4 linked regions of the Arabidopsis thaliana genome follow. The protein of the gene in region 1 interacts with the protein of each later gene in a biochemical or structural test. Each region holds a gene or a part of one and is shown in the gene's direction. Other genes may lie near its edges.

Region 1 (7,955 bases):
AGGTTAGATTTTCTTTATAGAAGTGAAAGTAAATAAGCTAACTGGTAGCAAATTTATTGAAGTCATCCAATTTGAGCTATGGGTGTTACGCTTTGTTAGTGCTTTGGGTTTTTGGATTCATTTTCATAGATAAGTAAGTACCTCATAACGGGTTTGTTTCTGCAGATTTTATTTCCTGGCAATTGGCGAGGCTGTTCTTCCTTCAGGAGAGAGTTGATTCACAGATACAGTTCAGGTGACAATGCCTTCTTTGGTATCTCTAATGGAACACGCCTGCAGAAGAGTTTCGTACCTCAAGCCACTGGGAGTTTCTTGACCGGTACTATCGAAAAAACAGAACAACCAGTATCAACATTCGGAAGTTTGTGCCAGAATGAGTTGGACAGAATAAACTACATGGTTTATAACATGAGTGAAGCTTTTGTAGCGAGTGATGAGGGACTGACATATGTAGAAAATGGAGAAGATGTGTTCCCTGTTGAAGCTGTTGCAGCAGATGTTTCTCCTGTTGAAGCTGTTGTACCAGATGTTTCCCCCATTGAATGCCTTTCTGCTGAGACTTTAACCGATAAGACCAGTAGCCTTATAGACTCTGTTGAATCGGGAACCAATGCGACTGTTAAAATATCTCCGGATAGTTCAGTCTCACTTCCTGATGCGAAAGCTAGCTTTGATGACTTTTCTTCTGGGCTCAAGCAGTCCTTCAGCTCTTCACTTCCTGATGCGAAAGCTAGCGTTGATGACTTTTCTTCTGGGGTCAAGGAGTCCTTCAGCTCTTCACTTAACCAAGGAGAAAATGCTGTAAAGAACACTTTGGAGTCCTTCTCCTCGTCTGTGACATCCATTACAAAGAATGCTTCTGAAGTTGTAGATAGTGCAGTTAACAGAGCGTTTTCTACGCTAGACCAAACGGGAGATGTAGCTGGAGACAAGTTTTCGAGTTTTTCTACTGGCTTGAAGGAAGCTTCAAACAGAGCAGCTGTTATTGCCATTGATCTGCTGAGGCAATCAGTTAGTCTTGGAGAGAGATCTGTAACAAATGGAGTTTCTTTTGTTGTGTACTCTTATGGATCAGCAAAAGAATTACTTCCTCCAGATGTAAAGAGTGCCCTTAACTCGTCAGAAGATGTTGCTCTAAAAGTATTGAGTCCCGTGGGAGCTGTATTGCAGCAGGTGCTTTGTCTTATATACTGAAGGTTCATTCATATTTTCGTAGAAGAAAATTAATTCTTTATGGACTACAGTTGCTAACAGTATCATGATGAACAGGTATCTGTTGCCATTGGAGGTTTGGAGAGAAATATCGGTTTGGATCCAGATGACCCAATCCTTCACCTTTTTCTCTTCGTAGGCACCACAGGAACCTTTTGGTACACGGCTTTTCTTACCCTAGAAGGATATTAAACTTGCTTTTCTTGAGAGGACAATGTAGTATAGAAGAATTTATATTTTCCACCAGATATTTGCAGGGTTCTATATCGGGTTTGGACATATGGTGGATATGCTGGAGATTTGTCTCCCAAGTCAACTCTGGACCTTTTAAAATCAAGAGACAAGTCAGTGCTCATAGATGTCAGGCCTGAAGTAAGACGCTCTTAAGTTTCTAACAAGTTCCCATTTCATGATATATAACTTTTCAAAACCCACCACAATTTGATTATTTCTTTCACATAATGTTCATCAAGGAGTTTGGGTTGAAATAAAAATGCTCATTTTGGCTACTGTCTTTTTGAAGGCCTTGAGAGAGAAAGATGGAATACCTGATCTGCGGAGATCAGCTCGATTTCGATATTCTAGCGTGACACTGCCTGAGGTTGGTTTTAGCATCCTCATTGTTGTTGACCACAGCGAATATAGAAACTCTACACATGTAATCTATGAACACAACGAGGTTTCAGCAATCAGTGCAACAGAAGTAGGATATCAGACTTTTCTTTATTCACATTTTTTATGGGTTCTTGTTCTTGATTCATGTTTAAGGTTGACGGTGATGTCAAACGGCTACTGAAAGGTGGAAGTGAAGTAGATGATATCTTGACAGCAGTAATCATCAAGAACTTGAAAATAGTTCAGGTGTGCTACCTTCATGCTTCTTTTGTAACTTACTATGGTTTTGTGGCTCGAGCTGTTTCAGTTTCTAAGTATGCTGACATCTCATAATTTTGCTTACTCTCCCACTAATAGGACAGGTCCAAGGTTGTTGTTATGGATGCTGATGGAACTCGTTCAAAGGGTATTGCAAGAGCCCTGAGAAAAGTTGGGATTAAGGCAAGTCATTCAGGCATAATTCACTTTGAACACAATAAGTTACCTTTAAACATTTTCGAATAAGCTCTTCTTTGGTTGCCTATGATGTGACAGAGGCCATACTTGATGCAAGGTGGGTATAGATCATGGGTACAGGAAGGTCTTCGTGTGAAAGAGCCAAAACCTGAGACAACACTTACCATCCTCAACGAGGTAATACCATATGAATACAAATATGTTTGGACTGTTTCTTCAGCTAGATGAAATTGAAACTGCTCTCAAATCTTTTCATCAGTAAGTTAAACATATCTTAAATGCTTTTCAGGAAGCTGAGGCGATTTTTGAGGACATAAATCCCTCTCCATTGCAACTATTTGGAGTTGGTGTGGTATGCTTCTAGTTCTATTTTTCTATTTCCGTTTAATAATAATCCCATCCTGACTAATATAAGAAGATATATGCAGGGTTTTTTCGCAGCATTGTATGCTTTGTCTGGTGCGTTTAATTCTTTCTCATTTCCCCTTTAGAATATCTCATATTCTCCACAACACACAAGCTCCTCACATCCACGTTTTGCACTAACATGATTGCTCTATCTCTCGCAGAGTGGGAGAAAACACTGCAACTCATAGCTGTCATCGGCCTTAGTCTGGTATATACTAGCCTTTCCAGTTTCTAAGTTTTGTCAAATTATAGTTGCTTTGTTTTGTTTTTCAAGTTTCAAACATTATGCAGACTATATACCTACGACTTTCTTCATATGATGACTCCGAAGACTTCAAACAAGACGTCAGGTATAAAAGCGCCATCATTAGACCCTTTTTCCATAGCAAAAACTCAGCGAAACCTCTGTTCTGTCTTAACAAAGATTGTTTCATCTTCTTCTTCAAGGCTGTTGCTTGCACCTGTGAAACTCGGAGCTCAGGCTTTCTCGTGGGCTGCAGGAAAACTAGAAACAAATGGTGTTGGCCTCCCAACTTCGCCTTCTTCTTCAGATGTTCGAAGCCGGGTTTTGCAAGCTGCTGCTAAGCATGAATCGAAACCCTCTGATGAAACTTCTGAAAGTCTCCAAGATGCATCATCGTCACCAGAAGAAGCTTTGAACAACGTTGATGTCTCCGAAGCGTAAAGACTCTGAAAATTGTTTTCTATTTTTCTTATAATTGCCAAGAATTACTTTTGTTCGTCTCTTGGAACCGTTAACATCGGCAACAGAAAAAGTGTAATAAAAAAAAACTGTTTTCTTTTCGTTCGGATGCTGAGATTTGTTTTGCAAATTTAGAACTAGCTAAATTGGGTCAAAAGTTATAGGTTACACGTAAAATTATTACAGCAATTTCTCCCCTAATAACTTTGGGCTTTAGGCCCAATAACAGAAGGCCTTAAAGTGGCATACTTAGGGTTTAGTGAAAAAGCAATCGTCATCCTTGACTCAGGGGTCAGGTCAAATCCAGGAGAAGAAGAGGTAATCATTCTACACAGATAGAAACATTTATTTTTTGTTTAATCAAAAGCTAACATTTTGTTGTGACAGTTCTCGTGTTTTCTTAATATAGATGGCAAGACTGATAATCGTGCCAGAATCCGTCTTATTAATCAAGACAAGAACAAATACAACACTCCAAAGTATCGGTTTGTTGTTAGATTTGTATCCTTTTAATTAGTTCATCACATTCCCAGTTGTTAGTGGTGTCTGTTTACATTCTTCCTATCGAGTTTTGTTTGGCCTTGAATGTGAGGAAAGCTAACTTGATTGACCGTATTCGTACACTTCACTCAGCTGCTGAAGCCATATCAATGAAGTTGACGACGAGTGAAAACGTTTCTTCTCTTTAAAAAACTGTATTTCCATCTAGTTTTGATCTTACTTTCGTGGCTTTGAATTTTTACTTTTCATATAGCATCGTTATATTACTCTTTACCTAATTTCCCTACTGTACTTGTGAATTTTCCCGTCGACGTATGTGCAAGTTACTAATTTTATGCAAGTTGTGAATTTGCAAGCGTTTTAATTTCTAAACGAAAGAATACTAATCAGAAACTTAGAAAATTTGACAAGATTAACTAAACATTGTATATGTCTATCGACCACTACTACATTATTTCAATGTGTAAGCATATTTTTTATCATTTAAAATGAAAAACAGAATGGACAATGATAAATCAACGAACGACATTAGCAGAAGTGTGTGGTGTTTCTATTTATCAGCACAAATAGAAAACAATGATAAAATACAGAAGTGGTGATGCAGTGGATTTATCATTTGATTGCTGGACTGTCATTTTTGTTATTAAATCTTATGAACTTTATTTTTTTCTTATAAATATATTATATATAACACATTTAACTAAATTAGATCTCATAAATTTGTTGTAGATTTTTTTTTTTTTTTTGCTATTCCCAGCAATCTACTTAAAAACGAATCCCATCATCACCCAAACATGCTAAGTGTAGCAGAAGGGATAATATTTTGTAGGTAAGGAAACAAATATTTTATTAACCTGTAAATAAAAAATGAAAACCAATTATACACATATTTAAAAACTACCAAACTTAGTATAGTATTATTTTTTTTAAAAAAAATTATAATAACAAAATAATAATAATAATAAATGGTAAGACTTATTTTGAATTATGTTTATTAATAATATTTTTGAGGTTTCTTTGTAAGTGATGGTGATTACATAGAAACTTCATATCAAATATCTATATATTTTAAAATTTCAAGTAAATTGATTTTTCAAAAAATATTATTCTATACTAAATTTAAAGTATATGAAAATACAGAAAATTGTTTACAAAAATGAACACAAATTAGGAAATGAATATGAAGAGTATGTATCCAAATTGTATTGCCATGTTTGCATTTAATTTAAGAGGGTGTATGAAAAGCAAAAAATCTTCTTCTAACAACTTACCTAAAATCATCTCACTTATACACTTCCATAAATTAATTAGTTTTTTTGTATTCATTAGCTGGAAATATATTAAGATTATTTAGTTTTTTTTTTTCCATATGGAAAAGGAAATTCACAGCAGAATTCCTATAAGTTAAAAAAACTTACCTTAAAACTATCAAAATATATCAAAACTCATATCTCCTGGGTCCTCCTGGACCTGGACTTAAACATCCATACTTACACATATCCACTCTATATAAGTTTAGTTCACTACCACTAAACCCAACCAAAGCAAAAACATCACTTCTCTCAACAGAATAGTTTGAGGTTGTGTGAGACAAAAAGAAAACCATGGAGCCAACTAACGATGCTGAGACATTGGAAACTCAAGGAGAGGTTACAACCGCTATTTGGCCGTCATCTCAAATCCTCAAGACGACTATCGATATTCCGGGGACTCTCAGCCATGACGGCAGATACATCCAGTACAATCTATTTGGGCATATCTTTGAACTCCCCGCAAAGTATAAGCCACCGATTAGGCCTATTGGCAGAGGTGCTTGTGGCATCGTTTGGTAATATCCTTTTAACAGAATTAATAGTTTCATTTCTTTTCCTAATCATTTTGAGCACTTTAGAATGTAGATGCCATGACCATTTTTGTGTGTAATTTATGGTTTGGGTTGATAAGTTTCATCTTTTTATGAGAAAAGTTCAAATCGTTTCTATCATAGAGATCTCTAAACAGTTATTATACCATTCATGACTTTTATGTTATTCTTGTTACTTTTAAAATTTCCTCACTTGACACATTAGTTTTTACTTTTCTTTTTAACTTTTTTTACAGTTCGGCTGTGGACTCCGAGACCAATGAGAAGGTAGCAATAAAGAAAATAACGCAAGTATTTGATAACACTATCGAAGCAAAGAGAACTCTTCGTGAAATCAAGCTTCTTCGTCACTTCGATCATGAGAATGTTCGTTTGATTTTATAACTATTGTCTCACCTTTTTTCTTTTATTTTGTTATTCATTAAAAGCTAACTATGTAATATCATTTTTCTATAGATTGTTGCAATCAGAGACGTAATCTTGCCTCCTCAGAGAGATTCATTCGAAGATGTTTACATTGTGAATGAATTGATGGAGTTTGACCTTTATCGAACCTTAAAATCAGATCAAGAACTAACCAAAGATCATGGCATGGTGTGTGTTTAGAGTTATTGTTTCTTGAAACTTAAAAATCATTTTGATTAGTGAGCTTGACACAATCTTCAAATTTTTGGCAGTATTTCATGTACCAAATCCTGCGCGGATTAAAGTACATTCATTCAGCCAATGTGCTACACAGAGATCTAAAACCAAGCAATCTCCTCTTGAGTACACAATGTGACTTAAAGATTTGTGATTTCGGGCTCGCTCGTGCAACTCCTGAGAGTAATTTAATGACTGAGTATGTTGTCACAAGATGGTACCGTGCACCTGAGCTTCTGTTGGGCTCTTCTGACTATACCGCAGCAATAGATGTTTGGTCTGTTGGCTGTATTTTCATGGAAATAATGAACCGTGAACCGCTCTTCCCGGGGAAAGATCAAGTTAATCAGCTTCGTTTGCTTCTGGAGGTAGTAAAGTAAAACCCTTTGTTGTGCCAAGATCATATTCGTTTTTTGTGATTCATGATTAGCTTAAAAAGTCTTGGGACATTGTTTTGCAGCTCATTGGCACTCCATCTGAAGAAGAGCTTGGATCGTTGAGTGAATACGCTAAGCGATACATAAGGCAGCTTCCTACGCTTCCTCGCCAATCTTTCACTGAGAAATTCCCGAACGTGCCTCCCTTAGCAATAGACTTGGTGGAGAAGATGCTAACATTTGATCCTAAACAGAGAATCTCAGGTCAGTTTCTGTCTCCATATAGCCTCTTCTGCAGTTTTATTTGGATTCTTATCATCAGTTTTGCCACTTTGCAGTTAAAGAAGCACTTGCTCATCCATACCTTAGCTCGTTTCACGACATTACCGATGAACCAGAGTGCTCAGAGCCCTTCAATTTCGATTTAGATGAACATCCATTCTCTGAGGAGCAGTTTAGAGAGTTAATCTACTGTGAAGCCCTAGCTTTCAACCCTGAAACCAGCAATGATTGAAAAGGACCATATCTTTGATCCTTGTTCTGTTTTTTTCTTTTCCTTCTCTGCTTTTCTTTGAATAATTTCCCTTTTCATTTCCTTTAATTTTTTCATCTCTCAGAAATTTTGTTGTGCTAAGATTTTCTGCTAGATTCCCTTTTGATGTTGTCAAATTTCATTTTTAAGCAAATAAACTGAAAAACCATGATTCTGTGGGCATCATTGCGACTTTCAATCCAACAAATATTAATACATGAGCTATTGTCAAAAATATAACATTGCAACAAGGAAGAAAGCAATCATATCCTACTTTGAGTATTTTGATTGAAGACAATCTTACTCTTTGTAATAGTTCATTTGCAGTTTTGCTTTTGTCAATTCTTCAAATTGCCAAAGAATCTAGAGAGTGGTACAGGGCCATCGGTTTCGTGTTTACTTTTGCTAGAGTGTTTGTCTCTGCTGGACTTGTGCTTCTTCTCCTTCTTTGATCTTTTCGAACTTGATCTTGATCTTCTAGATTCATCTTCATCACTGCTAGATGACGACTCTGAGGACGAATAATGCTGCAAATTCATAACACAACCGATCATGGTTCATGTTAGCATAAGCTAGAAAACCTCACACTATCTGATATAAGCTAAACTTTTAGAAGGCACCTTTCTCTTTTTGCTTTTCTTCTTC
Region 2 (7,744 bases), on another chromosome or scaffold:
GTCATGAAATGGCCAAGTTCATGTCTAAGTTAACCAGAAGAGAGATTGTCCTAAGAGATTCAAACCGGTTTCACCAATTTAAAGATGGACATTGTTCTTGCAGAGGTTTCTGGTGAACATTGAACTGTTTCATGTATTGTAAACATTGTTCTTACCAGACCGGTTTAAGATTGGAACAGTCCTGATGTAATCATTGAAAATTGAAGCAATTAGAACATATACTAAAGGAAAACATAACCACCATTTTATGACCAGGCTGGATCTTTGATGGAGCTATATATCTTCATGATAGTATCATTGCTTCAAAGGAAAACATAACCACCATTTTTCATTAACTCGATTACTTTATACATTCAAGTGTTTGTTACAACTTTTCAATCATTAATAATTTGGTCAAGGTACTAAGACCTAACCAATGACACGTTTTCTATTTTTGGACCAATTGAACCATGTTCGAACGCATGTGCAGTATTACATAAACACAACTCATGAAGGAACAATGTTTGTTGAAGAAAATAATTGATAAGAATAATTCAATAATTATTACAAAATAATCCTTAACCACTTACACTTAAAAAAAAAAATAGAACAATATCTGAAAATAAACTACTAAATTAACGTATTAAACCCACTCAAATGTAAAATCAAAGTAAAATAGAAAAAAAAAAAACTTAAACCGGGATTTGTGTGGAGAACCGGTTCGGTTATTCTCCAAAAAAATTCACTATCCTCTTCTTCATCTCACAAGAACCCTAATCTCACTCTCAAAGATTAGGTCTTTCTTTGCTTATACTGTACTCCAATTTCATGGAATCAACCACACCATTTGGCGAGAAGGATCATGAAGATGATTAAGAACACAAGTGAAGAAAGTCCAATAGCAACACCAAGCACAACTTTATTAGGACCATGATGCTCTTCTTTCTTCTTCTCACTAGTATCATCTTCATTTCCGTAATCATAATCTGAATTCGAATCTTCTTTCTGCGGCGGTGGAGACAAAGGCAAACCATGTTTATCACACTGAGCAATACCCAATTTCATCTTCGATGACAATACACTATGGTTGTAACAAAGATCACTGTTTCCACCGATTTTGAACACTTCGAGATTCTTGATAAAGCTCGCATTGAATGGTAGAACTCCATGGAAGGCATTGTTAGCTAGATTCAAGTGTGTGAGATACTTCATTTTGGAGATGAATCTTGGAATGGTGCCGTTTAGTTGGTTCCCACTCAGATCTAAGTGTGTAAGCTCTGGAATGGATGAGATTGAATCTGGGATTGGTCCTGATAGCTTGTTTGAGGATAAAGATAGGTTTTTTAAGGAGATTAGGTCACCGATTGAGTCGGGTATGTCTCCGGAGATGGTGTTTTTGGATAAATTTAGAGACTTTAGGTTTGAGAGCAGAGTAATGGAAGTGGGTATTGAGCCTTTGAGTAGATTGTCTGATAAGTCAATGAATGTGAGATTTGAGTGGAATGATTTAGGGATGTTTCCGGAGAGATTTGCGTGTGAGATTGTCAAAGAGACGATCTCGTGCATATTTCCTAGGATAACGAAGAGACCAGAGGTTGAGACTGGAACAGAAGAGACTGTGAGGTCAGTGAGGTTAACGAGACGAGCTAAGAAGACTCCGGAGAGGCCATTACGGCGGCGGAGGAAGGAGGAGACGGCGGTGAAGGAGTGGAGTGAGTCAGGGAGACGTGGAGGAGGGGAGAGTGAAGGACAGTTGAGGAAAGAGAGAGAGGTTAGAGATGGTGAGAGAGCTCTGAGAGCTGTTGTGGAGATGGAGAGATCGGTGGAGCAATTTGTGAAGGAGATGGAAGTGACGAGGCGAAATGGGGAGCTGGTGTCGCAGGTTACGACGGAGGAGGAGGTGGATTTGGTGGTGGGACGGTGGTTGCAAGGATCTTTGACGGTGGGGATGTTGAGAGATTCAAGGGCTTTGAGTTGTTTTGGGTCTAATGGGGAAGAGGATGAGGAAGGTTTGTGAGGTGGAATGGGAGAGGTGGTTGGAGATGGAGTTGGAGAGAGGGAAGGAGCGGCGGAGATAGTGGCTGAGAGGTGGAGGAGGAGGAGGAGTAACGGTAACGACGGAGGTTTCATGGTGAAGAGAGAGAGAGAGAGATTGAGAAAGAGAAGGATAGTGTCAGAGAAAGTAAAAGAGAGAAAGAGAAGAAGAAGGAAGAGAAAGATTGGATTTTTCAAAGATGGGTCATGTGACAGTTGGGTTTTGTATACTTTTAGCCTTCTGTTTTTGGTTTAATTACGATTTTGACCTTATTCTAATCTTCTTCTTTTCTTCTATATGAACTCTTATTTTGTTGCATTTAGTATTTAACTATGTTTTTGGCTTTTTAGTTCAACTTTGGTTGTTATGGATAGAGATTCTTTTGTTGTTTTTTTGCTATGTGTTAGAAACTTTGACAAATGTAAACAACCTTTTAAAACTCATTATTCGACATGTACCAACCATAATCAATTTATTTGCTTTACATTTTCTCTATGTCATTGTAACCATTCAAAACTCTATAAAGAAGTGTATAAATAAGGTATATTACCAAATGTTATTTCACCAGGATGATTTTATGCTCTGCCCTGGATTTGATCGTGTAATCTAAGACTCCATTGATTTTGCTTTTGTAAATAGTTCATCGATATTAGCATTAGTCCAGTCCTTATGCATTGAGGTGGGGACAAGAAGAATATCATAGGAATCATATTTTTTTGTAACCCCCATACATGAATTAATAAGGGAGGTCTTTTAAAAAGTTTTCGGACAGAACTCAGATTTAGGCAGAAAAAAGAAATACATGCATGAACTAAAGAACTAAGAAGTTGTACACTGCAAGAAACACCATTAGAGTCACACTGTTAACACTTTGTTATAAACGATGCGGTTTTTGAGTTTTTTTTTTGTTTCACTTTGGTCAGAGACTTTTTGTGAGGGTTTACTTCTAGAAGACGGAGTGAACAAAATGAAAATTAGACCTTAGAGCTAATATGGTCAATACACTCATTGTCCTTCGGCATTTAAAATGGTAATTACATTTTTGTTGACTAAATTAATACTACACTTTATGATAAATTAACTAAAGACAACTAAATATACAATAAATGAGTCATTTACACATTAAAAACTAGATTTAATTCATACTAGCGTTTTCACAAACATTCAACTATGTTTACCCCAAATTCAACAACACCTAATGTGTAACGTCAACAAAGATTATTATCTCACATTTTCTAACTTGATTTTCAATCTAATTATATTTCTATCAAAATATGTTAAAAGAAATAATTAATTTGAACTATTTTTAGTAATACCTCTAAAAATCTAACTAGGATAAAAAAAAAAAAAAATCTCATTGTAAACTAACTTCGAAATTAATTTTCTTAATTTTACCTCACTTTCATGTTGAGATATGATTTAAGAAAAACACAAAAATGGCTAAGCATTTAAGAAATAATTTAAAAAAATAATTAATTAATTTAATATATACAAAATCACACTAATGCTACCAACAAACTACAAACGTTAGATTTCAATCCATAACAAATTTATGGGTATAGTAAAAACACACATTAAATGTCTTTTCTTTCTTCTCCTACCTTACAAATACGAGAAAGAACAAAGCTAACACAAAATCGGAAAAAGACTTCACTTTTTTTTTTTTACTAATTAATTAGTTTTTTTTTTCTCCTTTCCAAAACAATGGAGAATTTCGTCGACGAGAATGGTTTTGCTTCTCTAAACCAAAACATCTTCACACGTGATCAAGAACACATGAAAGAAGAAGATTTTCCATTCGAAGTCGTCGACCAATCAAAACCTACAAGCTTTCTTCAAGATTTTCACCATCTTGATCATGATCATCAGTTTGATCATCATCATCATCATGGCTCCTCATCTTCACATCCTTTGCTCAGCGTCCAAACTACGTCTTCTTGTATCAATAATGCTCCTTTCGAGCATTGCTCTTACCAAGAAAACATGGTCGATTTCTATGAAACTAAACCAAATTTGATGAATCATCATCATTTCCAAGCAGTGGAAAACTCATACTTCACTCGTAATCATCATCATCATCAAGAGATCAATTTGGTCGATGAACATGATGATCCTATGGACTTGGAGCAAAACAACATGATGATGATGAGGATGATCCCTTTTGATTACCCTCCTACAGAGACTTTCAAACCTATGAACTTCGTAATGCCAGATGAAATTTCATGTGTTTCTGCAGATAATGATTGTTATAGAGCAACAAGTTTCAACAAGACCAAACCATTTCTTACACGAAAGTTGTCTTCTTCTTCTTCATCATCATCATGGAAAGAAACCAAAAAGTCAACCTTAGTCAAAGGACAATGGACTGCTGAAGAAGACAGGTTCGTTATTAACACAAGAAACCTCAAGAATCAATTAACATAATCAAGACTTTTGATGATTACACTATTCTAGAGGTTTTTACTATAGTCACCCGTTTTTGCTTGTAAATGAAGTTTTCTTGTTTTGGATAATATAGGGTACTGATTCAACTCGTGGAGAAGTATGGATTGCGTAAATGGTCGCATATCGCTCAAGTGTTACCGGGAAGAATCGGGAAACAATGTAGAGAGAGGTGGCATAACCATTTGAGACCTGACATTAAGGTATTTTACTAGTAGCTATAAGATCATGTATTGATGATTATGGAACCTAAAAGATAAAGATTGTTGCAGAAAGAAACATGGAGTGAAGAAGAGGACAGAGTGTTGATAGAATTTCACAAAGAGATTGGAAACAAATGGGCAGAGATTGCGAAAAGACTCCCGGGAAGAACAGAGAACTCGATCAAGAACCATTGGAACGCAACAAAAAGAAGACAATTCTCTAAAAGAAAATGTAGATCTAAGTATCCAAGACCTTCTCTGTTGCAGGATTACATCAAGAGCTTGAATATGGGAGCTTTGATGGCTTCTTCTGTTCCTGCAAGAGGTAGACGCAGAGAGAGTAATAACAAGAAGAAGGATGTTGTTGTTGCGGTTGAGGAGAAGAAGAAGGAAGAGGAGGTGTATGGACAAGACAGGATTGTGCCTGAATGTGTGTTTACTGATGATTTTGGATTCAATGAGAAGCTGCTTGAGGAAGGATGTAGCATTGACTCTTTGCTTGATGACATTCCTCAGCCTGACATTGATGCTTTTGTTCATGGACTCTGATTTGTATTTTTTATTCTGCTTGTTTCAGTTTTGTTGTTTTTTGTTTGTCTTTTTATACGAGACAGATTCCACCAAACTTCAATAATTTGAAAAGATATAAAATATTTTGCTTTTTAAAAACATGTTGATGTTGAAACAATAGAAACCTAACTTGCGGAACCCGCCAAGACTTGTTGCTAAAATAAGAACATTACTTAACTTGTGGCTCAAGCAACCATATGAAAATTTATAAAACAACCAAAACACATATGATCAATCTTTCAAAATACAAACATAACGTATCTTCTCTTAGCAATCGATCAAAAGACAGTTCAGAGAAAGGGAAGTCGTATCGGTTTTGGAGACGAAAGGATTGATACGAACCCAAACAAGTGAAAACACAGAAGCAAGCAAGATAGACCAGAGAATAACAATAGTAGGTGTTCTGTTTTGTCTTCCCATAAGACCTTTGAGGAATGGATAAAGATGAAGAATCACCCAAAAGGCGAAAAATACCTTCCCAAACAAAGGTCCCCAAGCTTCATAACCTTTGTTAAGAGCGTCAGAGAATCCAGCAACAACTCCGACCAAGTTGATTATAAGAAGTGACGTCGGAGGGATCAAGAGAGTTGTCCATTTGACAATGTAAAGCTCACCGAATTCTAAATCATCTGCGGTTTTCGATGTGACTGTGAAATTTGTGTCGAGACCAGCGAGCATTTTGAGGAATCCTTGGAAAACGGCAAAGAGATGAGCTGAGACACCTCCAATAACCCAAAACTGTTCGTTTCTCCATAAGTCTTCGATACTGACTCCGCTCCATCGAAGCTCGAGGACACTCGTTAAGATGATTGATATAAAGAGACCTAGAAACAGCATGCTTGCTAGGTTTGATAGCTGCAATAAAGAACAGAAACAAAGATCAAATTCTCAATCTTGCTGTAACCTAACCAAAGTAATTAGTAGTATGAAAAAGTTACCGTTGGGATGATAAATTTGCCGGTAAGAAGGCAAATAGCTGGAAGAGTACAGTAAGCAACAAGAGGCAAAGAAGTGAATGGGTAGACAATAGTGTTTATATAAGCTAATCTCTGGAGCAACTTGAGGCGGCCTCCGCTGCAACCGTACCACAAAGGACAATGTCGGCTAAGGAAGATCTCAACCGAGCCAAGAGCCCAACGTAGAACCTGGTGAAGCCTATCTGATAGATTGATTGGAGCAGATCCTTTAAATGCTGGTCTTAATGGCATACAGTAAATCGACCTCCATCCACGACAATGCATCTTGAAACCCGTCAAAATGTCTTCGGTGATCGACCCGTAAATCCATCCTATCTGCGAAAACAGAACGAAAGGTTATAAAATGTACTCACAAGAGAACTTTGATATGAAGAAACAAGGCACTTACTTCTTTTCCCCATTCAGTTTTCTCTTCGTATCCACAGCTAATGACATGAATAGCTTCTTTGATGAGCGTTGACGGGTTTACAGAGTCGGGAACACCGCCATTCTCCATAAGAGTAGACTCGATGAAAACCGTAGAGAGACCAAACGTTTTCTCAAAGCTTGTTTGTGAAATCAGCATCGATCTGTCGTACTCATCGTAGTTGTCTAGGTCCCCAAGATTAAAGATTGCAGCATCAAGTTCTTCTCGCTTTGCATCTTTGTAAATCTCGGAAGGATCTTGAGGTTGTTTCTTCTTGGTTAGACAGCAACACGACGATGATGAAGATTGCGGTAAAATCCTCGGTTTTGAAGGTGGACTGTATCCGTAAAGTGCTTGTCTTCTAAAGACAGTACCTGTACCAACATAAACTGGACCTTGAATCCCATCAAGCCCTCTCATATTAACCTGAAAACATCATATCAAAACCACAAAATATCATAAGAAATCTCAAAACTTTGCTTGAAGTTATGAGTATGAGATAACTTACATCGAAGAAAACAATGTTGCGGTTAGCATATCGATCACTCTTGTCGATTCCATCAAATCTCTGTGGGAACTGAACAAAGCAAACGTCTTGACCAACAACAGGATCCATTAAAAAGCACATTGCTTCACGCACGGCTTTGCTATTGTTGACGTAGTGATCACAATCAAGGTTAAGAATGAATGGAGCATTCGTTAAAACCGCAGACACCCTCACCTACAAAGAACAAAATCATTAGGATTGTGCTAAATTGAACGATAAAAGAAAAAGTTTTGAAGTTTACCAATGCGTTCTCTGCCCCGGCCTTTTTGTGATGCTGATAACCAGGTCTCTTCTCTCTAGAGACGTAAACTAATCTTGGAAGTTCATTTCCTTCAATGTCGCGAGCACCGCTATATCCAAGAAAAACCTGCAAGAAAGAAATTACGTGACTAACAAGAAAAGACAGAGCATTTCAGGTCAAATGTTTTAGCTAGCAAACCTGAATCATCCCGGGATGGTCACGAGTGTTGTTCCCGGGCCAAGATGTTCCATCTTGCATTGTCCATCCTTCTTCTGGTGTCTTTTGAGCCTTGGCGACTAAAGCATTCATTCTTATTTTAAACTCTTCATAATCTCTCTACAAGA
Region 3 (7,595 bases), on another chromosome or scaffold:
ACAAAGTACTCTACTCTGCAGGAATAACAAGATGAACTAAGGTGAATCACCATCTTCATAGGTCACTTGAAGGTCAAATTAATTTTGTTTAATCGGATTACATTGCTTCAGACATGACAAATGTGAAATAATGAACCAAGTTCACAAGTCAATGACCAAAATGGGACCAGGGAAGCAGTGACAACTAGTTGCTATGTACCTACATATTCTAGATAACCAAAACTATGTGAAGCTATGTGAACTGAGTGGAACTAAGCTGTGTGGCAAGCCTATTCGGGATAACCAAAAATGAGATCAGGGAAGCAGTGGCGAACCTATTTCAGATAACCAGGACTTGACCAGTGTGTCTATTGTATCTTTCGTCTTAGCGTTATTCCCCAACAAGGGGAGAAAAGTTGAAATTTCAATGGTAAGCGCGAAAATTTGGGGAAGGAAAGCACGTGTAAGTCACGTGAGATAAAAACATATACAACCTTAGTGGCTTGTATTAGGCCCAACGTTTTTACCTAACGGCCCATTAAAGCCCAATCCAGATATAAAGGAAAGCACTTGTAAAAAGTCACGTGAGAATAACATTTTCAACCACAGTGGCTTGTATTGGCCCAACGTTTTTTTCACTAACGGCCCAAAAAGCCCAAATCAGCTATTGATTAGTGGAGGAGTACTCATTTATTAATTCCTCCTACTAATTGGGGTTTACCAACTTAACAGAAAAAATGCATCAGTTGTGTGAGTTGTCGAACAATCAAAGTGATTTACCAACAAAATATAAATAAAAGTAATCATTAACTTGATTAGATATAAAATTAAAAAAAAATCGGTTAGTCAAACACAATGTTTAAATTAATGTTGACTTAACTCGTTTTTAGTAATATTGTATGTATCTTTATAATAATAAAAGAATGCTTGGGTTTGGGTCCACGCGTTTTTGTGATACAATGCCTCGTGCAGGCCACTTGGAGCTAAATATTTTTTTTGCTAAAAAAACTCGTCCTCGAAGGTTTCACGTGGCTCATGCACCCCTGACTGGGTCAGGAGAATCTTGACCGTTGGATCAAAGTTGAAGCATTTATAATAGCTTTGACCGTCCGATGAATGACTACAAAGATTGTGATTCGTTATAAGCCGTACGATTGACTAACACAAAGAGGAATCAACATCACGAGGCGAGAGATAATGGTAACAACGGCATAAAAGCATTTTTCTCGACAGCTGTAGCAAACTCCACGTCATCTTATCTTACTCGCCGTGTGAACCGTTGATTTTATGAAAATTTGTCAACCTTTTTTACTCGCGGAGATCACGCGCTCCCCTCGTTTGGCACGTGTGTCACACTCTGCTTCACTCGTAAAATTCTTTTTCCTTTTCTTCTTTCTTATTGTTCACCATATAAATTATTTTGAACCAATTTTTTTTTTACAATACAAATTGTTTTTAAATTTCTATACAAATTATATATTATTTTTATATTTATGATTATTACATAATAATTAGTTAAATTTTTTCAAAATAAATATTCTTAAATCTGCGTGTTTTTAGTTAAAATAATTTATATTGTGAAACGGAAAGAATAATATTTTTTCCGAAAATAAAATGTTTAGTAAATTTGTGTGTTTATTTCAAAAATTATGTTATTGTTTTTCTTTTTTTTAAATGAGTTGTAGAATGGGAAGAACTAAATAAACACACTACTCATATTATTATTTTTTATAACATTACCTACATGTGCTTTGCTGTTGCTATTCTCAAAAGGTAATGAATGGTACAATAGTATCCCATGTTTAGAGTATGTGGCAGAGTGATCAACACTATGGTGCTAAGTGACAATCACTATCTTTCTATCTACATACTTTTTATATTGCATTTAAGCACATTTTTTGGAAAAATATAAAATGGAATACATATGTGTTATCCATGAATGGTTCTTTTTTTATAAACATCAGTTGTTAGATTGACTATTTTGTAATGTCGAAAGCTCACAACAAATTAAACTTTTATTCTTATCCCTTAACATTATAATTTTTTTTGTCTAAATTAATCTTGACAACTTCCAATTCCATAATCGTTGGTGTAAAAAGATTTAAGAATTGTTTACTTCATCTTGTGCGCATCGATAAAAAGTGGGCACTAGTACGAAAGTATGGTTTCCCACTATTTAAAATCAAATCAAAGGATCCCTAAAAGCGCGTGTGAGAGACGCGTGGAAATGTCCAAAGGAGTGTGAGGTTGACAAAAGATGAATTAAGAGATTATTCAAAGCCTTTGACATTTTATCAAAGTCAACCAAATACAAGAAACCGGAAACCATAAGTGGTTTTAGTCACTAGGCGACAAAGACAGGATAAGCATCGAGATACCTTCTTCAAGCACATACTTTTCTCTCTTTCTAGAATTGCCCAAAAAAGCCAAAGAGACTATTCCTCTCTCTATATATATATAGAATATAAAATATTCTAATATACGTATTATATAATCGGCATATACACGTATTGTGATTCCGACAGTGCTCATCTTTTTCCAAGTGTGTTCATACTTATTTGCTTTTAAAACAAGATACAGAGATATGTTTAATTTAGTAATGTCTAAACAATTGCTATCACTAAAAGGAAAATATGTCAAATAAACACTAACATTTAGTAAAATTGTAACGATAGGTTGGCACAATAATGGCATCGGTTTATAGAGGACGATTCCTATTAGTTTGCTAATTACAACATCTAGTATTAGTTTTGTGCAATCGTCACATGTCCTTCTTCATTTCCTGTTTTATATACAAAAATTATTCAGTATGTTTACACCATCCGTACACAAATTTTATTTTTAGTTAAATATATTTTATAGTCACAAGTTGTGTGACTCAACAAAATATTTTCAGGTCTTTTTTTGTAATTCATAAATTCATGTCTATTAATATTTTCAACTAATAAACTAATTTTTGCGAGATAAACTTTGAATGGTTACAGCGATCCAAGCGGACAAACCATCTACAAACCGAACCGCTTTTTATTTATCATTCACAATCTATAGTTCGTAATGAAGCAGAACCAAAAAAACAAATAAATTTGATGCGGATTGACTTTAAACTAAGTTTGCAGCGGTTTGTTCTCTGTCCTAAAAAATAGTATAGATTGGACCGTTGACGGATTAGTTCGCACTAACCACAACATATCCGTCTCAAAAAATAGTATAGACTGTACTGCTGACGGATTATTCCGGATTAACCACAATATCCATTCAAAACAATAAGTTGATATGTGGAATAATTACAATGTAACAAAAAGAGAGAAGAAAACAAAATTGTATATTATACTGTATTTGAATCATAAATAATAATTTAATAAAATCTTTCCTCCATTTTTTTCAACCCTTTTTTTATTTTCGTCCATCTTCAGTCTCTTTATAAACATATCTCTCTACCCTTCAAAAGTCAGCGCTCTCTTTTGTCTCCTCTGCTTTTTTCTCTTCTCTCCTCAGAGATTCGAAGCTTTTTGTCTCCCCTGAGTAACCAAATTCAATGGCCGACGATTGGGATCTCCACGCCGTAGTCAGAGGCTGCTCAGCCGTAAGCTCATCAGCTACTACCACCGTATATTCCCCCGGCGTTTCATCTCACACAAACCCTATATTCACCGTCGGACGACAAAGTAATGCCGTCTCCTTCGGAGAGATTCGAGATCTCTACACACCGTTCACACAAGAATCTGTCGTCTCTTCGTTTTCTTGTATAAACTACCCAGAAGAACCTAGAAAGCCACAGAACCAGAAACGTCCTCTTTCTCTCTCTGCTTCTTCCGGTAGCGTCACTAGCAAACCCAGTGGCTCCAATACCTCTAGATCTAAAAGAAGGTTCGTTTCTTCACCCAATTTTCGATAAAGTTTAAACCTTTTGTCAAACCCATCAACAAGTTTACGAAATTCTGTTGAATTAATCAAAATTCCGAATTTTGCTGTATAGAAATGGTTAAAAGTCTCAATTTTTGTCGAACCCATCAAATTTGATTGAATCAAGAAGGCTAAAATAAAAAGTCTCTGTTTTTATTTGGTTGCTTGTTACAGAAAGATACAGCATAAGAAAGTGTGCCATGTAGCAGCAGAAGCTTTAAACTCCGATGTCTGGGCATGGCGAAAGTACGGACAGAAACCCATCAAAGGTTCACCATATCCAAGGTAAAACCAAAAAAATTACCAGAAAAAAAAAAGTCATTTATTGAGTTATAAATGTGTGTATTCTTTCAAGACAAAAGAAACTTGTCTGTTTTTGTGATTCTGTCTGATTTTGGTTTGTTAAATTATTATCTGCGTTACATTTTTGGTAAAGGATTCTAATTAATTCTCATTTTCATGAAAACAGAGGATACTACAGATGTAGTACATCAAAAGGTTGTTTAGCCCGTAAACAAGTGGAGCGAAATAGATCCGACCCGAAGATGTTTATCGTCACTTACACGGCGGAGCATAATCATCCAGCTCCGACACACCGTAATTCTCTCGCCGGAAGCACACGTCAGAAACCATCCGATCAACAGACGAGTAAATCTCCGACGACCACTATTGCTACTTATTCATCGTCTCCGGTGACTTCAGCCGACGAATTTGTTTTGCCTGTTGAGGATCATCTAGCGGTGGGAGATCTTGACGGAGAAGAAGATCTGTTATCTTTGTCGGATACGGTGGTTAGCGATGATTTCTTCGATGGGTTAGAGGAATTCGCAGCCGGAGATAGCTTTTCCGGGAACTCGGCTCCGGCGAGTTTTGATCTCTCTTGGGTTGTGAACAGTGCCGCCACTACCACCGGAGGAATATGATTAGATTACGACGGCTTAGAATACTCTTATTAGGACAGATTTATAGGATTAAGGAATTATTCTCGGAGCATATGTAAAAATAGGATAAAAGAAAATGTTCTTTGTTACTTTTTTTCGGGTTTTCTTCCTATTGTTTCTAAACATCTTAGAAAAAATTTAATTGTATATTCCTTAAGCTCGATACATCTTGTTTAACTCGAGTACGATTTACTTATGGAGTTATGGTCTTTGTCTCATCATTGCATAGAACTTGTTTCATCCTTGCTCGAGTACTCACTGATTTACTTGTGGTATTTATCTCATTGCGTTAAACTTGTTTCATAACTTTAAACACAATAGTCTGACGCGACTAGGCAAGTGCACGTCTCAAGTGGGATCTAAGAGATTTCTAGGTAACCACCATAGCATATATACATAAGATAATATTAGAAACTAATTATAGAATTAAAAAAAAAAAAAACTAACCATTATCAGTTTTTATGTGAATAAATAATCATATGACTATATAAAAAATACAAAAATGTCTTTACAACTTAAATCGAAAGCAAGTTTATGAGAATAACAAGATATTTATCAAAAAATGATATTTTTCTAATATGTTATGATAATAAATGATCTGTTATATGAAAAAGTAGTATGTTGACAGAAAGAGATTTTCAGTTATCACGTGTAATTTAAAAAAATAACGTGGTTAAAAAAAATAACATACAATTTAAAAAGAAAACATAACGACGGAGATTCCAAAAAAAATCAAAATCGAACAAAATAAAATGAGAAATCTTCTACAAATTAAGGGAGAAATAATCTATCAATATAAATAACGTTTGGCAGCCTACATTTATCGAAAAAGAGATCTGGTGGTTGTGATGGTGGAAGATGTGGTGGTTGTGGTGGTGGAAGAAAGAGAGATGAGTGGTAGTTTGTTTCGGATTCGTCGGAAGTTTTTCGCCATAGAATCATCTAAGTGTTTTGTGTAATTTTGGAAAATAACGTGTAATATATATAAAGTTCGAAATGGGTATAAAAGTAATTGCAAGTGAAGAAATAGAGTGTACTGTAACAGCATGGCTAGTTTGTTAATTCTTTTACAATCTATGGTTATTTTGTGCATATTCTTATAAAAATACTAGGAAATGTCTCACGCGTTGCGTGGGTTTGTAAATAATTTAATAATATATAAAAATATTTTATGACTAAATAAACATTAATGGAATAATATAAAATACACTAACGGTAAGAAAAAGCAATACCCAATTTTAATTAAAGAGTAAGTCTTTTTATTAGATTAAAATGACACTATAAAATAAGCTGTATTTGTTTCTTTTGTATCCACTATTAGAATCTTTTGTATTTAAGTATAAATTTTAGATATTTAATTTTTATTTTAAATGATCACAAAAGTTTGTAGGAAAAATTTCTTTTAAAGAAATATTTGGGAAAAATAATGATATATAATTAAAACTATTGAAAATAAATAATAGTGTATTTAAGTTGAGAGAGGACACATGTCACAAGGAGAGATGTCACGTGTCAGCTTCTCGTAGCTCTTGAATAGGAGAAACCTTTATTTATTATATAAGATGTATATAAAATTGATTGTGTAAGATTTTTTTTTTCTTTTCTAAATATTAAATTAAATATAAAAATGTGTGTGAGTTAATATTTAGAATTTAAATAGTATCAATAATATTAAGTGTGTAGAATCAAAATAAAATAATAAAATAGATTGCAAAAGACTAGAGTTTTGTTTAAATAAAAAATTATTAAATTAAATATCAAGAAAAATGTTTGAATTACTGTACTGTCGAGAAAAGATAATAATAATATATATATCTTACATTGTATATTTAGGCGGTACTTATCTAGTATACATATTATAGATTTTATTATTAATTCATTTTTTGTTGGAATTTTATTTTACCATATTTTGTGGGTTTTCAGCTTTTAATTTAATAAAATTATATTCACTAAAAAAATACGTTTGTACAAAATTGTCACTGAGACTATGATTTGGGGTGAAAAGCTGTAGAGTTGGAGGGTGAGGCCACTCAAGATGTGAAGGGTGCAGAGGCTGATTTCCAGAGAGCACTGCAGTCTTCCCTTTTTGATTCTCATCAGAAACTAATTTGGAGGAACTCTGGGATCAACTTCATTATGCGATAAGAGCATTGAAAGCTTTAAGATTCGATAATACCATGCGACAGAAAGCCATAGATAAATTGATAGCCTTACAGGAGAAAGAATCCATTGCGTCCAATGAAGAATGCATAGCTAGAGAAGTTGTTCAAGAGGCTACTTTGGAATTATCTTTGGGTGAAGCGAGGTTGCAGCAGGTTCTAGTGGAGTCAGCGGGTCACAATGCTTCTGAGGTTGAGGATAAAGTCTGGGAGACTATGATTTTGGGTGAAAAAGCTGTAGAATTAGAGCGTGATACCACTCAAGACGTGTAAGATGCAAAAACTTCTTTTCAGATTGCACTGCAGTCTACTCTTTTTTATTCTCAGGCCCAAGGACAGGTTTTGGTTGGGAAAAGTACAGTTGTTGACGAGGATGCAATATCGAGTGGCGTGGCTGAAAATGAGTTAGCAGTAGATGAAATCTACACTTGTGAGGCAAGCTTTTCTATGAAAAAGAAAAAACCTATAATTGTTGTTATAATCTTGTTTATGATGTTTGTCTCTGACTTGTTTAGATTTGCACCGGTTGAGTCTCTCGAGCTCGCCAAACCCTGTTTCCCATCTCCAAGTTACTTTATGTTGTGTGTTCTACAAAATCGTTGAGAATAATTCA
Region 4 (7,987 bases), on another chromosome or scaffold:
TAAAACAATTATATTACACACTATATACATTTTATATTGATCATTAGTACAATTTACTTAAATGATCTCTTCAAATCTTTCTGTTGTACATCGTCATACTTCTATTTTTCTACATTATCATTATAAAGGCCCATACATTCTGATGATGTACGTCGAAATAAATAATGAGGAATTTTGTGATTTGACCAAAATATTGTCGAATTTGAACTTGCGACCAGAACTATAGATCGAAACTGCCTTACGCCTGAAATGCAACCACTGTCTGAAAATTATCCGACAAGGGGCCAATTATTATATCAAACAACATAAGTTTTCTTTTATAATTTTAAGAAAATAAGTAATGAATTCCATATGCTTGATTTCTTGCTAGTGTTTGACAAAAAAAATTGAAAAAAAAAGATTTCTTGCCAGTTAGCCATTTTCCATCAATTGGACTTAAAATGAACTCATATGTGTGCGTGTGCGTGTGTTTTTGTGTTTGTGGTTACATAAACAAGCTACAAGAATTTTGGGATTGTGTTTATATAATTTATAGTTTAGTTAAACATATACTTACAAAATTTCAAATAGCTATTTAATTCAAGGCAACATTTCTACTTTTAAGGAATCATTTGTCAGTTTATGCAATAGGGAGACAAACCACTTATCGATTAAGTCGTTGGGCCTTAATTACTTAACGTGTAACCATGGAAACTTTAACAATTTATTCCGAATAGATATTCAACTTAGCTATAGGTTTTCAGTTCCTGATGACTTATTCTAAAACGCTACATGTTTTGATCAAAAGTTTCATTGTAACCCATATTGTCCGATACATATGATTTTTTTCGATAAATCCTACAGATGATATATTACCAAGAAAAAGAAAAAACAGGTTGTAGTTGCTATGAATAAATGACCAACCAGGTGAAGTTACCCTAACTAGATTGTATTGCTACGTACATTTGTGAAAACATTAAGCATATTTAATAAAAGATTAGTAGTATAGTTGTATCATCAGCTTCCACTTGAACTCTTAAATCAATCGCTGTGCCTTGTTTTTAGGCGACACCGTATAATTTTCTAATAATATTTTTTAGTAGATATTGACCAGTGGATTTTAGAGTTCAAAGGAATAATAGGGTCGTAGGATGATAGGATCAACCCCCAATTTGAATATATGGTTAAACAACGCATGTGTGTATATATAATTTTTAAATTACGTCTATTAATTTGTAAGACAGATCAATTTATACAATCCTTATATATATTCCTTACCAAATTCGACGAGAATGTTAGATTTAGGGTTTGACTGCACGAGTGGAATAAAAAGTTTCATCAACAAAAGCGAAGTGATTAATTATATTTTATTTTTTTAATTAACTATATAATGAGCTATATATCATATATATCAAGAAACAATCTAAGAGAAAATATAGTGAACTAAAATAGTTTATGTTTGATCGAAAATGGTCGACCCTTTCTGTACATATATCCCCAAGATTTGAGGTACCATGTCACTTCCACCTCCTACACTATCTCATCTCTAATTTATTACGCTATTATATAATTCGACGATGTTTATGACTAATCAATAAACTAAAAAAATAAAAATAAATATGATAGCAAGAATTGTCTTTTGACTCATGCTGTTATGCATTCATGCCCAACACAATTTTTTTGGTCAACCATATTTTTACCTAAATCTAAAACTCGAATACGAAACTCAAGTTCAAGAGCTTAACATTTTTTTTTTCATTCATTTATTTAACAGTATTTATTTTATAAAAAAAATTACAACAAACTTCAATTTTTTTTACTAATAAAATGAAGGATTATTACACATTTAAGAAAAACATACGCGTGGAGGAGACATTGAGGAAGCACAGAGGCGTTACTAACTTTCTAAGGGAACGGCGCGTGGGACCCACGTGAAAAATGACGTCATTCGTTTCTTCGATCTTTCACTCGCTAGGCAGTTACAATCATTATTGACATGTGTACTTTTGTTGTTGGTACACGTAACTACGTTTTATTTCCATTTCAAACCGAGAAATTTAGACATTTTGACTCCCGGTTCACTCTGATCTCGTTTCTAAACCGGAATCGAATCCATTACACTTGATTTTGGAAAACGTGAATGCTCATTTTAACTTAGAATGAATGATTTAACATAGTTAATGCTCTTTTTATAAATTTGGAAAGATAAGTTGGCGAACGAGTCATTTTCTAGTAAGCGTAACTAACTATTTCATCAATTAATTATGAATTTTCTTCTTCTTATCAAAAAGGTCTTTCTTCAATTACATAAGCTTTTGCGTTTTTATTCCGATAATATAAAATTTTGAAAAATCGAATCATTAAAGAAAATAACTAAGAACTGGCATTTTGTATACACGCCATGTATATATATATATATAACTATTTTATCAATAGTTACAAATTGTAAAATTTTAGTGTTTGATGGCTAATTTAAGTTGGACCTCAAGTCAATAGTTTAAAAACTATGCCAAAAAAAAACTTAATTAAGGGTATAATATTTTATTTCATTTATCCATCTTGTTCGTAATTAAATTCATGAGATATCTCCAACAATTACAGTTCACATGTATATTCACAGTAAATAAAGAGAAAGCAAGAAGTTTATTTTTCTTGGAAAATAGTTTTTTTTATCACGAGATGTTCCAAGGGATATTAGGTAATCAAACGATTTTCCCCCTTTTTTCCTCTTTTGATTCATAAATAATATAATTATGTAGTTAAAGATTGTGAAAAAGAATAATAGAAGAGGCTTATCGCATGTTTGCTTCACGCAAACAACTAAATGTGAGAGAAAAAGAGAAAATAGAGAGAGATCGTTTTTTTTTTGTTAGCTTTGTCGTCGCTTGGCTTTAAAGACTTTCTTCTCTATACTCTCCTCTTACCAAACCCTAATTCTCCTCTCTTGATTCCCGTTTCTCAAATCTTCCTCTCATCTTCAAACAATACCAAACATAATCTCCATATTTTTACTCAACAAGTTTAAAACCCTAACGCAAGAGTGGGGAGATAGAGTAACAACTCGTTAATTGGGGGGTGGCCGGTCATGAGCGGTGGTGGGAACACAATCACTGCCGTGGGAGGCGGAGGTGGTGGTTGTGGTGGAGGAGGCAGCAGTGGGGGAGGAGGAAGTAGTGGCGGTGGTGGTGGTGGGCCATGTGGTGCTTGTAAGTTTCTAAGGAGGAAGTGTGTGCCGGGATGTATATTTGCACCGTACTTTGACTCCGAGCAAGGATCGGCTTATTTTGCGGCGGTGCATAAAGTGTTCGGAGCCAGTAACGTCTCGAAGCTTCTATTACACATACCGGTTCATCGAAGGTCCGATGCTGTCGTAACAATTTGCTATGAAGCTCAGGCTAGGATAAGGGATCCTATCTACGGTTGCGTCGCTCACATCTTTGCTCTTCAGCAACAGGTAATTAATAATTTATTAAACTTTTTCTCAATAGTAAAATGCGTTGGAAATCAATATATGTGAAACATACTAATTGACTTAAACTAACCACAATTTATTTTGGTGACAGTTACAATTTTCTTTTTCTTTTCCAAAGTAGCAAACTTCGGTTTCGTTTGGGAATAATCTATAATTTTAAACTCATGCAAATTCGTTTTAGTATGAACAATTTTTTGGTGTGCATGAAATGAAATCGTCGAGTTTTTCGAGAGTTTGCACTTTCTTGAGTTTTCTTGGTTTTGCAATCTTCTACTTTGAGTATAAAGGAAAAAAAAAGCATGGTTGTCTGTTTAATTACTTATGAAATCTTTTAATATAATCTATTATGCAATTATATAAAAATGATACGGTCGTGACAAGTCCCATTGCAAAGTTACGAAGTTTTGTTTTGCTGGTTTTCGGGAATTGGTCGGGTACAATTTTCTGTGTTGATACGTATATACACCATTATATTTTTTCCACTAAAAACCGTTTTCTTTCTTGTGAAAACTGAAGATAAATCATTTTGTTTCTTCGCAATTTTTGTTAACCGTGTAATAAGGGGATGATCTTATATGATGCGTGTCATTTTATTTTTTTACTATTTATGTTAATAGTTTACATAATTTGTGGCCTAACAACCTTAGCAAATCGAACATGCATTAATTCCATTCCTGAATGCTATAGTTAAAGGTGAATAACAGGTAATTGCTTAAACTGTTAGAAATGTGATAATTACATGAAATCATAAATTTTAAAATAACACGTACTAACTAGCTATTTATAGGATATCTTCTTAAAAAAACAAAAAACAAAAAAAACTATTTTAGGATAATTAAGCTATCACGTTAAGCGTATAAAAAACTACTGTAAGAGATAGAGATTTCACTGATCAAACTAAGTGCATAATATTTGCAATAAATTGTAAGCCATTAATCGCATTCTTACGTAAATTCCAGAAAAGTACAGGTTTAGCCTTAAACCTATATGTTTACATATCATGCAAAACAAATTCTAACTCGTAAAGTGTATACATAGGTGGTGAATCTACAGGCAGAAGTTTCTTACTTACAAGCCCATTTGGCATCACTAGAGCTACCTCAACCGCAAACGCGGCCACAGCCTATGCCGCAACCGCAACCGCTCTTTTTCACTCCTCCTCCCCCTCTTGCCATAACCGATTTACCTGCATCAGTCTCACCCTTGCCCTCAACCTATGACCTAGCATCCATCTTCGATCAAACGACGTCTTCTTCGGCATGGGCCACGCAACAACGAAGATTCATTGATCCACGTCACCAATACGGTGTATCATCGTCTTCCTCTTCTGTCGCCGTGGGGCTCGGTGGTGAAAACAGTCATGACCTCCAAGCATTAGCACATGAACTCCTCCATAGACAAGGATCTCCTCCCCCGGCAGCTACCGACCACTCGCCGTCTCGAACTATGTCTAGATGAGTTGGTTTTGATCGATACATCTCCGCATTGTTATTAGGAAAATTAAATTACAACTCAATAAGATTTAATTTTCTTTGAAAGTACTGATTATAAATTTTCTAACATTTATATTGTATTACTACTGTATTTTCACTTCTTTTGACTGACGAGTATTTTCTTTCTTCTTTGCCTTTACTTTTTTTCTCCTATTACGTAAGTTTTTGAATATATCCCGAGTCATACATACGTTTCCTAATCAGTTGTATATACTCCATCTTCTTATTTCTGCCTCGGGCATTTTCTCGCAAGGCCCATTCATATTGTGGGCTTTGACCTTCAACTTTTTTACTTTTGTCAAGCCTTTTTTAATCCCTTACATTTCAACAAAAAAGAATAAAAGAGGAAGTAAATTACAGAGTTATGGTCTTATGGCTGAATTAAACAGACATCAACATCTGCAAAGAGCACGAAGTGAATTTACACTATGCTTCTCGAGAAATATCCTTACTCACTAATAGAGTTGGGTTTCTCTTGTATTCTTTCTTTATAGAAGATATTTCCACGGGACTGGATTTACAATATCAATTGGAGTTGTGTAGTTTCTTAAGATATTTCCTACGAAATTGTCATTTGGTAATTGGTAATATATATAAGATTGTATCGCATGATGATCTTTACGGGCCTGATGTTATCTAAAACAATTTGGTAGTGGATATTTTTCAAGTTCTAAATTCCTTGGTGAGGATGTTTTTACTTGTATAAGTGTTTGAAAGAAAAATTGGTCTTGACGATTTTAGTGTAATCGATCAAAATTAAGTTTTACTAAAGAGACATATGTAAATTGTTTTTGAAGCCCAACACCCTAAAATAAAACATAAACGAAACTAAGAAACGAAAAAAAATCGTCGAATAGATTGCATTTGCTTTGGGAATGGAATGTCATTTGGTAAATATATATAAGTTAAAATTTCAACTTAAATTAACAGATCAATGGTATTTTAGTGCTTAAAATCAATGTTTAGTACATAATTAATATAAAGGAGCTCGTGTACGTGAGATTCGTTAATAAATTTATATGAATAAGCCGAAGAAAAGGCGAAGTGTTTTTTATTTATTCATATAAATATAGTTATAAAGAAAGCTAGTTATTAGTTAACTTCGTCTATATATACATATTATTGTTAATTTCGTTATCGAACTCCCTTTTTATTTTCTTATTTCTTCTCATGCACGATATTTAATATTAAGCGATATCAAACGCAATCATTTTGTTGCATACTATCAAAAATTCTTACAGATTAGAATAACAAAGCTTGCACTTCCTTACATGTCGGAGCTCCCTCCTGTAAAATATTTGCATCTATAAATCGGGACAGAATATAAAATGTACTTTTATCTCCATATTTACATATATAGATTGATTTTTTTGAATATTTTTTTCTAATTTTGGGTGTTGACACTCTGTAAGACTGTATCTCTGTTTGTTATTGTGATAGTTTACTTGATAACAATATTTTGAACTTTCGATGTTTATTACAAATTTCTTTTTCATAATCTCTACAAAACTATGACAAACTTAAGTTTTTTTTTTTAAGACTTTAATACTTTAGCCACTGCAATAAAAGTTTACAAAATATTACAACTATTTGATTTACATTCTCTATTTCTTTTCTGAATAAAAGAATCATCAGTTTTTGTAAGCCAATAAAATAATTTATTTGTACTAGTGGAGTAGTATTCGCCCTATTAATCATTTAACCAAAATAATTTGTTTTCTTTCGAAACTTACAGTTTTAGTTTTTGGTCAACGACGAAACTTACAGTTATAGTTGTAATCCTAATACTCTCATGTCTGTATTCAATTTTGTCATTATGTAAATTTCAGAATCGATAATTGTAAACGGTTGCATTTAGGAAAAGACTATCGTGATAATTACTTTTTTTTTTTAAATGACTTATCAAACAAAATTTCAACAAATCTAACTACATTTTTTTTTGGTAGGATAAATCTAACTACATATATAATAGATACATTTTCATTTTCGTTCATCCGTTTTTATAGTATCTATTTTATAGTTGAAAATTAGTTTTCTTATATTAAAAAATAGAAAATGTTGTAGGAGAACAGAGTATTGTTTCTGCTAGTAATTAATCATTAAAGTAAGTAAGTAATTAAGAAGAAGATTATGATTGTAATTTACATTTAATTAAATAGTCCAAATGCGTTGTGCTTTGATGCTTAAGTTGATGTTAAGAGAATCGTTGACATTTTGGCACCGAGTTCTCGAGGCATTTGTTCGTTTCAAAAGATGATCAAAGATATTTAATAATTCTAATTTCTAAGTTAATCGCTGTCCATCACATGACAACCTCGGCTGTACGTGGTCCATTCTTTTAACCCTTTTTTTTTTCTTTTCAATTTTCTCTGTTTTCAATACATAAAAATAATCGGGATGGTCCGCATAATTACAGAGATAGTGGATCAATTATCTTGATTACAGTGGTTAAATTGTTTCGTAGATAGAAATAAAAAGGAACTTTCTAATAGAGTTCAGTCTGCGGAGAGAATATGGAAATGTATGCAAGATTTAAACGGACGATGTGAAGGTGATGAATGGTAAACACCAACTTGATTGATTAGGTTAGAAAATGACATTTAGTAATATCTTGTTATAAATAATTCAATAGATGACTATATTTTGTCTTTGTTTTAGCGATAAAGAAATTGTCTATTGCGACTTTAATATTCAAATAATTCGATAGTTATACATATGTCCTTACGCTAGAGTGCCTTTTCATACGAATTATATTTATATTTCATGACATAAGGTCACATATCCAAAAAAGCAAAGCATATATGACAAATTCCGATGTGGATGTGCTAATAGATTAAAAAGTTATTGGGTGCCAAAAGATACATCGAGCTATGTTTGGATTTTGTCTTAATTACACGTCCGTCCTTATCTCTCACTTTAATCAACCATTAACTTTTTCATTTCCACTTGGCTGAAACCGAATTTTTTATATATTCTATATTTTGAGAATTTGGTTGAGAAAAACAAAACGGTACAAAGTTTCTATAAAATACCTTACAAAGTT

What was found.
Region 2: of the proteins of MPK10 (region 1) and MYB98, one has a biochemical effect on the other in vitro, tested with the Arabidopsis thaliana proteins (one large-scale study listed by BioGRID).
Region 3: of the proteins of MPK10 (region 1) and WRKY22, one has a biochemical effect on the other in vitro, tested with the Arabidopsis thaliana proteins (one large-scale study listed by BioGRID).
Region 4: of the proteins of MPK10 (region 1) and LBD18, one has a biochemical effect on the other in vitro, tested with the Arabidopsis thaliana proteins (one large-scale study listed by BioGRID).

Annotation. Positions count from the first base shown.
Region 1 is NC_003074.8:22,086,949-22,094,903, forward strand, and holds MPK10 (MAP kinase 10), read left to right. Parts: upstream 1-5,451; 5' UTR 5,452-5,499; coding exon 5,500-5,723; intron 5,724-5,995; coding exon 5,996-6,125; intron 6,126-6,215; coding exon 6,216-6,353; intron 6,354-6,436; coding exon 6,437-6,769; intron 6,770-6,861; coding exon 6,862-7,042; intron 7,043-7,116; coding exon 7,117-7,292; 3' UTR 7,293-7,455; downstream 7,456-7,955. Other genes in the region: AT3G59780 (Rhodanese/Cell cycle control phosphatase superfamily protein), read left to right, coding at 1-2, 166-1,173, 1,270-1,370, 1,470-1,584, 1,736-1,813, 1,981-2,073, 2,185-2,268, 2,362-2,460 and 5 more; AT3G59800 (stress response protein), read right to left, coding at 7,649-7,837, 7,931-7,955.
Region 2 is NC_003075.7:10,307,350-10,315,093, forward strand, and holds MYB98 (myb domain protein 98), read left to right. Parts: upstream 1-3,680; 5' UTR 3,681-3,718; coding exon 3,719-4,395; intron 4,396-4,532; coding exon 4,533-4,659; intron 4,660-4,728; coding exon 4,729-5,208; 3' UTR 5,209-5,496; downstream 5,497-7,744. Other genes in the region: DOT4 (Pentatricopeptide repeat (PPR) superfamily protein), read left to right, coding at 1-116; RLP51 (receptor like protein 51), read right to left, coding at 814-2,109; IRX1 (cellulose synthase family protein), read right to left, coding at 5,497-6,084, 6,168-6,521, 6,595-7,038, 7,121-7,333, 7,401-7,526, 7,599-7,736. UniProt on the Arabidopsis thaliana protein: Transcription factor that binds to the motif 5'-GTAACNT-3' in the promoter of target genes (e.g. DD11 and DD18) and promotes their expression within synergid cells (e.g. in the filiform apparatus) in ovules.
Region 3 is NC_003075.7:520,049-527,643, reverse strand, and holds WRKY22 (WRKY family transcription factor), read left to right. Parts: upstream 1-3,394; 5' UTR 3,395-3,514; coding exon 3,515-3,846; intron 3,847-4,056; coding exon 4,057-4,167; intron 4,168-4,351; coding exon 4,352-4,805; 3' UTR 4,806-5,114; downstream 5,115-7,595. Other genes in the region: AT4G01245 (uncharacterized protein), read right to left, coding at 1-53; AT4G01240 (S-adenosyl-L-methionine-dependent methyltransferases superfamily protein), read left to right, coding at 5,672-5,720, 6,924-7,249, 7,310-7,550. UniProt on the Arabidopsis thaliana protein: Transcription factor involved in the expression of defense genes in innate immune response of plants. Interacts specifically with the W box (5'-(T)TGAC[CT]-3'), a frequently occurring elicitor-responsive cis-acting element.
Region 4 is NC_003071.7:18,715,537-18,723,523, forward strand, and holds LBD18 (LOB domain-containing protein 18), read left to right. Parts: upstream 1-2,811; 5' UTR 2,812-3,064; coding exon 3,065-3,433; intron 3,434-4,489; coding exon 4,490-4,909; 3' UTR 4,910-5,193; downstream 5,194-7,987. UniProt on the Arabidopsis thaliana protein: Involved in the positive regulation of tracheary element (TE) differentiation. Involved in a positive feedback loop that maintains or promotes NAC030/VND7 expression that regulates TE differentiation-related genes.